3 linked regions of the Ovis aries genome follow. The protein of the gene in region 2 interacts with the protein of the main gene of each other region in a biochemical or structural test. Links are inferred from orthologs where the notes say so. Each region holds a gene or a part of one and is shown on either strand. Other genes may lie near its edges. The genes, in order: ELANE, SERPINF2 and PLG.

Region 1 (3,723 bases), on a different chromosome or scaffold from region 2:
TCTGCATTATGACCACCTGCAGCACTGGTTTAATTATGTTTGCTGCTGCTGCTAAGTCACTTCAGTCGTGTCCGACTCTGTGCGACTCCATAGACCGCAGCCCACCCGGCTCTCCCGTCCCTGGGATTCTCCAGGCAAGAACACTGGAGTGGGTTGCAATTTCCTTCTCCAGTGCATGAAAGGGAAAAGAGAAAGTGAAATCTGTCAGTTGTGTCCGACTCCTAGTGACCCCATGGACTGCAGCCTACCAGGCTCCTCCATCCAAGAAATAGCAACTGGGATCCTTTTGTGGAAGGTAGGGAAGGGACTTCTTACCCCAGGGCCCTGAATCAGCCACCACCTGGTGGCAGCATACTCATGACACACCCAAGACCTTCTCCTGAGGACTTTTCAACTCAGTTGTACAACCAACAAACACACAGACACCTTCTACAAAACAGAGAGAGGTTTTTATTGTGCCAGCTGCTGAGTGATGCTTCATGGGAAGGGCCCAGCCAGGGGCAGGTGAGGGGGCATGACAGGTACAGCCTTTCTAGTCGGTCCTGCCCGTGGGGTCCCTGGGGTGGAGAGAGGGGCCATCGTCGTCATTGTAGCGCCGGATGATAGAGTTGATCCAGTTGGCAAACTTGGCAACAGAGGCAAAGGAGTCTGGGAAGACCCCGGAGCCGCAACCCCCACGGATGAAGGAATCGATCCCATGGACCAGCCCGTTGCAGACCAGGGGCCCGCCGGAGTCCCCCTGTGGAGCCAGACAAATTGGGGGGCTAGGGTTCCCGGCCCAGCCCTCTCAGCTCCACCTACCTGCCCTTCAGGGTGGGGAAGATATTCCAGAGGTCTGGCTGCAGCAGCCTGGGAGGGGGTGGGGTGGGGTCTGGGGGCACCCAGGGTACTTACAAAGCAGATGCCAGCACGCCGGCGTGGCACCAGGGTGCACACGTTGGTGGGGCGGCAGAGACCAGTCACCACGGTCACGTTGAGCTGCTGCAGGATTTGGGGCGGTGGCCGGTTCGTGCCCAGCCGGCCCCAGCCCATGGCCACGCACTGCACACCTTCGCCCACGCCCTGGTCCTGGGCAGGCAACTGGGCCACCTGCACGTTGGCGTTGAGGGTGGCCATCCTGTTGAGCTGCAGAGGAGGGTGGTGGGGTATGAAGCAGTCACGGGAGAGGGGTGGCGAGCCACGGCTGTGACTCTGGGGCCAGGTTCCCCTGCTGAGGCTCTACCATTGTCCTGGGGTGTTTAAGAGCAGGATGCGCACCCTCTTCATGCCTCCCATCGAGCCTCACTTTCCCCGTCTGTAAAGTGGAAGGAACCACTATGGCTGAGGCCACGTCTCTGGACATGTCTTTTATATTTATTTATTTATTTGTTTGGCTGCATGGGGTCTTAGTTGCAGCATGCGGGATCTAGTTTCCCAACCAGGGATTGAACCTGGGTCCCCTGAATTTGGGAGTGCAGAGTCTTAGCCCCTGGACCACCAGGGAAGTCCCTGAATGTGTCTTGAGTGCAGTAAACAGTAGGTGTCCAACAGAACATACCGTGGGCTACACCAACGACCATAAAGCCCTTGTTCTAGAACATTCTCAGAGAATAATCATAGCTGTGCAAGCAGAGGGGAAAGGTAGGTTTCTGCCTCCAGACTCCCACCCGCCGAATGTAGGTAGTTTTGCCCCATTTCCCAAAGAGGGAGGCCGTCAGTGCCCACTGCCAGGAAAGACAGCTGCTCAGAGCTTCTGGCTGTCTTATCTAATCTCTGGCAGCGCTGCGGGATGCGGGGGTGTACTTCTCCATTTCACAGCGGGGTGACTAAAGCACCAGGATTAGGGGGGACATCAGGTCTGCCCCCCGCCCGCCGCACCCCCCAGTCTCCTGCCCCTCCCCCCTCCCCAAGCCTCTCAGGACGCTGCACCTGCCCTGCCCGCCCTGCCCCCCGCGCACCTGGAGAACCACGACGTCGTTCTGCAGGTTCAAGGGGTCGAAGCCGTTTTCAAAGACCCTCTGGACCCTGAACATCTGCCGGGTTCGCTCCCGCCGCCGCAGATTATGCGCCCCCAGCACCACGCGCACCGATCGAAAGTTCCTGGGGTCGCGGGCGGACAGGAGGTGATGGGGGGGGGGTCCCCGGGATCGGAAGCGGCGGAGAGACCCCGCTGGGGCGCAGGGGGACCCTGCAAACCCTCGCGCTTTTGCCGGAAGCCCCCACCCTGGGCCGGCCCCACGCCCCTCGCGCAGGGACCCTCGATGTGTGCGCCCGCGGAGACACTCACACGCCGTTCAGACAATGCGCTGCCGACAGCACGAAGTTGCGCGCGATGAGGGTGGCACCGCAGAAGTGGCCTCCGCGCAGCTGCAGCGAAGCTATGAAGGGCCAGGCGTGCGGCCGGGCCGCCCGGCCCCCCACGATCTCCGAGGCCAGCGCGGGGCCTGGGGGCACGGGCGGGGTGGGGCGGTAAGCAGAGGAGGAACCCCCGACCCCTGGAACCCCCAGCAGGACCCCGCAGGGTTGGGCCCTTCTATTGCTTGTCACCCAGAGAGGGGAGGGGGCGTGTACGGTCCTCCTGCCCCGGCGCAGCCAGACCTGAAGTCCCCACAGGGTGCAGGGTGTACCCCCCCTTCACCCTCACCACTCAGAACCTCAGTCTCCTCATCCCATGAGGTTGGGGGGTGCGGCAGGGTCCAGGGTGAGTGGAGAGGGGGAGCAGAAGACCAGGGACAGACTCGACCCCACTCACCCCCCAGCAGCAGGGCCAGCAGGATGGGGGCCAGGGCAGGGCTGAAGTGTCTGCAGCTTTGGGTCATGGTCGGTTGGGGGCTCCAGGGTTTCTGCCCTCTGTGCCCACCTGTCCCTCTTATAGTCCCCACACCGAGAGGCAGTTGCAGTTGCCCCACGGCGGGGCCAGGTGCCCCTACTTCCTCTCCCCATCCAGGGGATGGGGGACCGCCGACTGGGTGATGGGAAGAACAGTTGGGGAAGGAACTGTGCAAGTGACCAGGAGGGTCACCAGTTCAAACTCAGGGTGCATGATTAAACCCTAATGTCAGATAGACATCTTTTTAACATAAGTGTATCCCACATATAAGCATGGGATGTAGTTATGAACAAAGTTTATCCAACATTCAAAGTTAGCAGGGTGTCCTGTGTAAGTGAAGTGAAAGTTAGTCGCACAGTTGTGTCTGACTCTGCAATCCCATGAACTATAGCCCCCCAGGCTCCTCTGTCCCTGGAATTTTCCAGGCAATAATCCTGGAGAGGGTTGCCATTTCCTTCTCCAGGGGATCTTCCTGACTCAGGGATCGAACCTGGGTCTCCTGCACTGCAGGCAAATTCTTTACAACCTGAGCCACTAGGGAAGCCAATATTCCTTACATGTAGTTATGTACAAAGTTAGTTTATCTGACATTCAGAGTTAGCAGGACATCCTGTATTTTTGCTAAATGTGGTCATACATGCATGCATGCTAAGTTGCTCAGTTGTGTCCAACTCTTGGCGACCCCATGGACTGTAGCCTGCCAGGCTCCTCTGTCCATGGGATTCTCCAGGCAAGAATACTGGTCACTCTGGCCCAGAGGAATTGTTTGGGATGCCACGTGCCTCAGTTTCACCAGGGCTCTCTGATAACAGCAATCATGTGCACCCAGCTCTGTCCTAATATTTTGCAGGCATGGCAGGGTCTCCATATCAGCCACCTGCCCAGTGACATGGTTGGGGGACCTGGGCTTTGAA
Region 2 (3,746 bases):
GAAGCTGCCCCACTCCAGAACACTGACGGTGCTTGGACTCCAGCCTCGAAGGGCTGACCATGGTCCAGGAGTTAAGAGCCTTAGGCTGGGCTCTTAAGTGTCCACCCAGCCAGGCCCTGGCCAGTGTGGGACCAGTAGGGGAAGAAAGAGGGCAGGACCAAAGGAGGACAGATGGAGGGGCCAGATGGTGCCTGCCTGGAGTGACCCCATGCCTTGCCTGCCCACCCCTCACCACAGTGTTTGTGCCTTGAGCTGATGAGGCAGCTTCTGGGTCCAGAAGCCTTGGGGGAGGGGGTCCAAGACCCTGAAAGAAGGGGCGAGAAGAGTCATCTCTGCATCTCAGGTCTCCCTCCCCCGGGGGGACAGGAAGACCCAGATGTCACAGGTCCTCGCATTCTGGAGCAGAGATGAGGTCTGAGGCTGGACCCCTGCTGCCTTCTCACTATTTGCAATAGATGTAAATATGATCAATAAATCCTGTGGAAGAGCCATGGATCCGAGTGAGGCTTTTCTTGATGGTGGTGTTGGGGGAGGAAAGATTGGGACCCTGTAGCTTCCTGGACAGAGAGGAGGAGGGGAGGCATCCTGACCATGGTTCTTCAGGTGGATACAGGGTCCACGGCTTCTGTTTCATGCAGCCCAGAACCCTCATCTCGAGGAGGGGAAGGAAACATTGCTTCCGAGGAAGTGGGATGCTGGGAGAGGCATCTTTTCTCTCCCCTCCCCCTGCCTTCTGGACTCAGGCTGGAGGCAGCCAAGCAGGAGCCGGGACATGGGAGGACAGGGATTCGTATCCTGCATCCTGATCCAGGTTTCCTCCCTTGCCTTTTGCAGCTTCCCCTTCCCTCTTCTTGGGAGGGGGAGGCAGTTCTGAGGAAGAGGCGAGGACCGTGGCAGCGGGAACCTGAATGTGACTCAGCCCAGCTCTGCGTCCTTGGCCAGGCCACACAGCTTCTCTGAGCCAGACAAGCGGGGATAACCCCCCACTTCACGGGGTCACTGAAAGTCCCCTGTCTTTCTTGGATCTAATCCCCTGATTGAAGACAGCCTTTTTGTCTCCTGAATCGCCTTTCTCCAGGCTCAGGTGGGACCCACCTCTCCCGGGGTTCCAGGTGGCTGTCCCAGTATGAGATGCCCTGGTGGGAAAGGGGCTTTTGGTTCCAGTATCAATGTTTAACCGGATGTGCAGGTCAATATTTACCAGAAGAGAAGGCAACTGGAACAGTGGTTGGCTGAGAGCAAAGGTCCTGGTGGGAGGGGAGGGCTCAGCTGGGCTTGCTGGAGCAGGGCAGAGCGTGGGAGCACCAAGCTGGGCCGGAGGGAGGTTGTGTACAGCAGTGAGGAGCCTGCAGAGGTAAGGGCGGGGGGTGCCTCGGCCTGGAGGTGTCCACCTTGCTGAGGGGGTCTGGGCTGAATTTATTCAGGAGGTTTGTGACTTCCCAGCCTCCTGAGATGATGAGGAGCCAAGGTGGGGGCGTTCAAGGGGAGTCTCTCTGGGAAATGAAAAACTGGAGGTCTTTTTCTTGGCAAGAAGATTAAAAACCCAGGTTGGAGATTGGGGCCCTGGCCAAGGGTCCTTGTGTGGGACACGGAGGGGGCTAGGGGTGAGAGAAGGACACTTGAGATGGGGGCGGGGTGGGGGTGTGTTCGAGATCCGCTCCGGGGCCAGACCAAGACCTGCCCATCCCCACCAGTCATCCTGGCTTCCCGGAGTCAGCCTGGGGCTAGAGCGGGGGCCGAGGCCTGTGTTTTCCGTAAGTCCAAAGGTGGCTCTGGCCACAGTCATTCATTGGGCTCAGCCGTTGGGTCAATAAGGCCAGTCTGGCCCAGCTCCCCACCCCTGCTGAGACCACAGGCCAGCCCACCCTTGTGGACAAGACCAGGCCAGCCAGAAAGGGGGGTTGGATCGGAGCTCTGGGGAGGGAATTCCAGTACGGAGCAGGCTTCAGGACAGGCCTCCCAGAAGAGGGGCCTTGGGAGGCTGACAAGAGCCAACGCTGCGTGCTGGCCCGTGCAGTCAGGGCTCACCAGGACTGACTTGGGTTGGTCTCCACAATACATGTGGGAGGAGGAAGGGACTTTTGCCACCATTTTAAAAGATAAAGCAGAGCCCAGAGAGTTTAAGGGACACGTCCTGGGTCCTCTGCCAAGAGGCGAAGCCTGGATTCAAACCCAGGTCTGACTCACAACTCCCGGCCTTGAGAAATGGGGACTTTTTCTGTGTGGGTAATATTTTCCGCCATGAACCAAAACACTTTCAGGGCATACAGTGTAAAAAACCAGAAAACACAAAGGGGGAAGAAAGCAATTCGGGAGAGAGTTCGAGCAATTCACAGCTCAGAGAGACACGCTGTGGGCGTGGGTACTGCAGCTGGCATTGTCCCTTCTGCTTGGTGGCTCAGGTGCCCATGAGCCTGTGGGTGGGATTCCTCGGCGGGTGCAGGGGTGAGGTAGGAACAGAGCCTTCCCGTCCTGCACAGGAACATGGCGCTGCTCTGGGGGCTCCTGGCGCTCAGCCTCTCCTGCCTGCCAAGCCCGTGCTCAGCGGTGAGCCTGGGCTGAGGTCTGGGTGGGGCAGGGCGGAAGCTCTGGGAGAGGTCGAGGGTCTTGGGGAAAGGGGTGGGGGGCTGGGTTGAGGGAAGTCTTGGCTTCAGGGGTTCCCTCTCCTCTCCCCCCCTCTCTCAGCAGTTCTCTCCTGTGAGCGCCATGGAGCCCTTGGGTCTGCAGGTACTGGGGAATGAGAGGCAGGACAGGGAGGAAGGTCCCCAAGGGCCTCCCCTGTGGCTGGTGCTGGGTGGGGGGCTGTGGGAAGGGCTGCTCTCCATCTGCTTCCTCCTTTCTTCAGCTAATGAGCGGGCAGGCCCAGGAGAAGCTGCCCCCACTTTCCCTCCTCAAGCTGGGCAACCAGGTACAACCAGGTGGGGCTGGGGAAGAGTGGGCGGGACCCGCGGGAGGAAGGCAGATCCGAAGGGCAAGGAAATGGGGAGGGGAGGGGAGGGTGGCAGTGAGGCTGAGGCCTGAAGGGAGAGGATGGGAGGGACGCGAGGGAGGAACCTAGCCCCCAGAACGCCATCACCCACGTCTGGACAGGAACAAGGCCCTGCTGTCTCCAGTACAGGGGCTTTGAAAGAGATCTTCAACAGAGCTGACCCCTTGACACCAATGCTCCCCCCACCCTCATCTGTCCCTGCAGGAGCCAGGTGGCCAGATTGCCCCGAAGAAGGCCCCAGGAGACTGCAAGGCGTCCCCAACCCCGGAGCAGACACGCAGGCTGGCCCGGGCCATGATGACCTTCACCACAGACCTCTTCTCCCTGGTGGCCCAAAGCTCAACCAGGCCCAACCTCATCCTGTCACCTCTGAGTGTGGCCCTGGCACTGTCTCACCTGGCACTAGGTACTGGGGCAGCAGACCAGGAGACCAGGTGCAGACCAGGAGAGCTAGGAGGCCAGTAGGAACTCGCCTCCTTCCCCAGAGCTTACTAGCGGGCACTTCCTCCATCAGGGTCTCTTGAAAGTTTGTTAAAAACACAGACTCGTGTCTCCGTGAATCAGAGTCTCAGGGATTGGGCCCAAGATGGGCCTCTGGTGGTTTTTATGCAAGAGTCTGGCAGTTCCAACATCTCTTTTGGACTGGAGGGTCTCACGGTGGGACAGAGTCCAGAGAGGGAAGGTGATGAAATGTCACCCAGACTAGCAGCAGCAGAGATGGAAGTAAACTTGGGTGTCCTGACCCTCAGGAGGTGGG
Region 3 (3,646 bases), on a different chromosome or scaffold from region 2:
AGTCGCTTCAGTCGTGTCCGACTCTGCAACCCCATGGATAGCAGTCCACCAGGCTCCCCTGTCCATGGGATTCTCCAGGCAAGAATACTGGAGTTGCCATTTCCTTCTTAGTTTCGAGCATAACCCTTTAAACGGACACTGAAGCTGGCGGCTCTCCTCTACCGGTTGAAAATCAGAGACATACGCGTTCGGGTAGCTTTCTGGGGTCTTCTGATGCCGGTGTGGTATCATTGATGACCACGACTGGCATTTCCTTCCTGTGACAGTGGTGGACGACGTCCCTCGATAACCCTGCCCGTTGCCATGGTAGCAGTCCTGGGCCACAGGAGTCTGCTCAGGTGGTACTGAAACCAAAAGAGAAGAAATCAGTAACTAATGACTGGGACAGAGAAACGTGTGAAATAACTTGTTACACAAACAATATCCTCTCTGGGAATTAACACCGCCCTCTTTTTACATATTGGGAGGCAGATGGACATGCAAAGAAAACCGTAGCTCCAGAACATTCTAAGACTTTCATGACCTAACTTTTGGGTAAATAGTTAATTTAAAACTTGGAGGAAAAAATAAGCAGGGCAGACTGCTTGTAATTGGACCTTGCACTCATGTGCAAGCTCTCTTTTATGGATCTCCCCCGGGTATTCATGAAAACTGGGCAGGTCTTCAGAAAGACACTCATTCATTTGGTAGAGGCTGCACGTGGTGACTGGGTGCCAGTGAGGAAGACATGGAAACCTTCTGCATTTTCCTCAGACTCTTTGTTTATACAAAGCCAAAGCCTTCAGCTGCTGGGGGAAATTGTCCTCCATCCAGGACTCAGGCAAAGATCCGTTGCTTCTCAGGGAAGGGCTCTGGAATAGGGGCAGAAAATTCTACTGTGCCAGGATACTTCACCAACACAAAGCAGAAGTCTCCTATTCTTCCACCCAGGACTCAACACAGATACAACTTAGAGTTCAGTTCCATGAGAAGAAGGGGCAAGAATATTGAGAAATATTGCCAGGTGCTCAGCTGGGAAAGAATCCACCTGCAATGCGGGAGACCTGGGTTTGATCCCTGGGTTGGGAACAACCCCTGGAGGAGGCCATGGCAACCCACTCCAGTATTCTTGCCTGGAGAATCCCGTGGACAGAGGAGCCTGGTGGACTGCAGTCCAGGGGGTCGCAAAGAGTTGGACACGACTGAGCAACTAAGCACAGCACAGCACCAGGTGCCCAGAGTCTAAGGTTGAGAGGAGACCAAGAAGATAGAGAATGCCTGCCCCCAGCAAAAGCTCAGCACTGAGTAACAAGAAACAGTAGTCTATTAAGAGGATCAGGTTCAAAGTGTGGCATGCCCCCCACCTCTGTGGTGCAGGCATTACTGATTGCTAAAAGTTGAGAAGGGATTAAGATACTGAGAAAGCTCTTCAGCACCCCAGACCCAACTCTAGATATAAGCTGACTACACCTCGCCACTGGGGGGATTTGAAACCTACGGTTCACATAGGGAAAAGCAGCATCAACAAAACCTAAATTCCTTTTATCTTCTCATTATATTAATTCAGTGACCCACATAGCATATTGATAAAAGAAGTCTGCCCATTTCAAAGTATAAATAATATTTGCTTCAATAGCTATTATTTCTCTACAAGTAAATCCAAGCATTGATTAAAAATTACAAGACACACACACACACACACAAACAGGGGCCAAAAGCCACTGTTGAGTGATAAATAATCAGCAGAGCCAGACTCAGAGCCACCCAGAGATGTGGGATTATCAGATTGAGATTATAAGGTTCAGTTCAGTTGAGTTCAGTTGCTCAGTCATGTCTGACTCTTTGCGACCCTATGAACCACAGCACTCCAGGCTTCCCTGTCCAACTCCTGGAGTTTACTCAAACTCATGTCCATTGAGTCAGTGATGCCATCAACCATCTCATCCTCTGTCATCCCCTTCTCCTCCTGCCCTCAATCTTTCCCAGCATCAGAGTCTGTTCAAATGAGTCAGATCTTCACATCAGGTGGCCAAAGTATTGGAGTTTCAGCTTCAACATCAATCCTTCCAGTGAATATTCAGGACTGGTCTCCTTTAGGATGGACTGGTTGGATCTCCTAGCAGTCCAAGTGACTCTCAAGAGTCTTCTCCAGCAACACAGTTCAAAAGCATAAATTCTTCAGTGCTCAACTTTCTTTATAGTCCAACTCTCACGTTCATACATGACTACTGGAAAAACCGTAGCCTTGACTAGACAGACCTTTGTTGACAAAGTAATGTCTCTGCTTTTTAATATGCTGTCTAGGTTGGTCATAACTTTCCTTCCAAGGAGTAAGCATCTTTTAATTTCATGCCTATCAGAGCCACCCAGAGATATGGGATTATCAGATTGAGATTATAAAGTAATTATGATTAATATGTTGATGGATTTTGTAGTAAGTACAATACTGGTCAACAATGTGCATGGATAGATGAAGAATGTCAGCAAAGATGAAAACTATTTTTTAAAAAAAAGAATAAAATGATCAAATGTAAACACTAGAAAGAAAAACCATATTATCAGAGATGAAAAATTCCTTTGATGGGCTGATTAACAGACTGAACAGAACTGAGTAAATAATCAATGAACTTGAAAACAGATTGGTAAATATTATCTGAACTGACACACAAAGGGGAAAAAAAAGAGTCGGGGGAGAAATAGAACGAGCTTATGGGAGATATGAGACAACAAGAAATGATCTAATGTTCGGGTGATTGAAGTCCCAGAAAGGAAAACAGAGAGAGAGAGCAGGGGAAGAGAAATATTTGAGCAGTGATGGCTGAGGATTCTACAAAAGTAATGAAAATCAATGATCCACAAACACAAGAAGCTCAGCGAGCTTCAGGTAGGATAAGCACCGTAAACATATCAGCAAACAAATAGACTCACTTAGATACACTGTAATCTACTGCTGGAAACTGAAAATGAGAGAAAGTCCTAAAGGCAACCAGAGAAAAAAGAAATATTAAATACAGAGAAACACAGATTTCCATCAGAAACTATTCAAAACAGAAGGCAATGGAGGAACATCTTTAAAGTGGCAAAGGGGAAAAATTGTCCACCCAGAATTCTATACCCAACAAAAATTGTTTTTTAAAACTGAAGGCAGTATAAAGAGACTCTTCCTGACATTCAAATGCTAAAAGACTTCATCATCAACAGACTTGTACTATACAGGATGGAAAAGGTCAAGTTTTTTATGGGAAGAACATGCCATCACCTGGAAATTGGAGAGCAAACACGAAGAAATGAAGCATAGAAGAAATGGTAGAAATAAATAAATAAAAATAAATAGAAGACTTTCTTTTCTTTCTAATTGTTTTAAAACATGACTGAGTCTTCGGGGCAAAAATAGTACCAATTTATTGTGACTTTTCAAAATAGATGTAAACTCAGAACAATAGCATGATATTCTGGGACAGAGTAAATATTGCAATGTTGTAAGTTTCTTACATCAAGGAAAATAACATTATTTGTAGGTAAAATGTAAGTTAAAGGTATGTATTGTAAACATTAAATAGATAGTAAAATGAAGTAATAAAAGGCAATACAAAATACTCATTTAAATCAGAGAAAGATAAAAGAACAAAATTCAAATAAGACAAGTAGAAATAACTAAATTGATGGT

The links.
Region 1: of the proteins of SERPINF2 (region 2) and ELANE, one has a biochemical effect on the other in vitro, tested with the Homo sapiens proteins (2 studies listed by BioGRID). The link is inferred for Ovis aries from reciprocal best matches to the Homo sapiens genes SERPINF2 and ELANE.
Region 3: the proteins of SERPINF2 (region 2) and PLG form a complex in vitro, tested with the Homo sapiens proteins (2 studies listed by BioGRID, with this or other methods). The link is inferred for Ovis aries from reciprocal best matches to the Homo sapiens genes SERPINF2 and PLG.

Annotation. Positions count from the first base shown.
Region 1 is NC_056058.1:41,086,673-41,090,395, reverse strand, and holds ELANE (neutrophil elastase), read right to left. Parts: upstream 2,825-3,723; 5' UTR 2,799-2,824; coding exon 2,732-2,798; intron 2,424-2,731; coding exon 2,267-2,423; intron 2,080-2,266; coding exon 1,938-2,079; intron 1,126-1,937; coding exon 895-1,125; intron 740-894; coding exon 533-739; 3' UTR 428-532; downstream 1-427. UniProt on the Homo sapiens protein: Serine protease that modifies the functions of natural killer cells, monocytes and granulocytes. Inhibits C5a-dependent neutrophil enzyme release and chemotaxis. Promotes cleavage of GSDMB, thereby inhibiting pyroptosis. Promotes blood coagulation.
Region 2 is NC_056064.1:22,722,734-22,726,479, forward strand, and holds the start of SERPINF2 (alpha-2-antiplasmin), read left to right. Parts: upstream 1-866; 5' UTR 867-1,084; intron 1,085-1,295; exon of another isoform or gene 1,296-2,042; intron 2,043-2,480; 5' UTR 2,481-2,484; coding exon 2,485-2,547; intron 2,548-2,685; coding exon 2,686-2,727; intron 2,728-2,845; coding exon 2,846-2,908; exon of another isoform or gene 2,909-2,918; intron 2,919-3,193; coding exon 3,194-3,395; intron 3,396-3,746.
Region 3 is NC_056061.1:84,340,083-84,343,728, forward strand, and holds part of PLG (plasminogen), read right to left. Parts: intron 345-3,646; coding exon 185-344; exon of another isoform or gene 1-184. UniProt on the Homo sapiens protein: Plasmin dissolves the fibrin of blood clots and acts as a proteolytic factor in a variety of other processes including embryonic development, tissue remodeling, tumor invasion, and inflammation. In ovulation, weakens the walls of the Graafian follicle.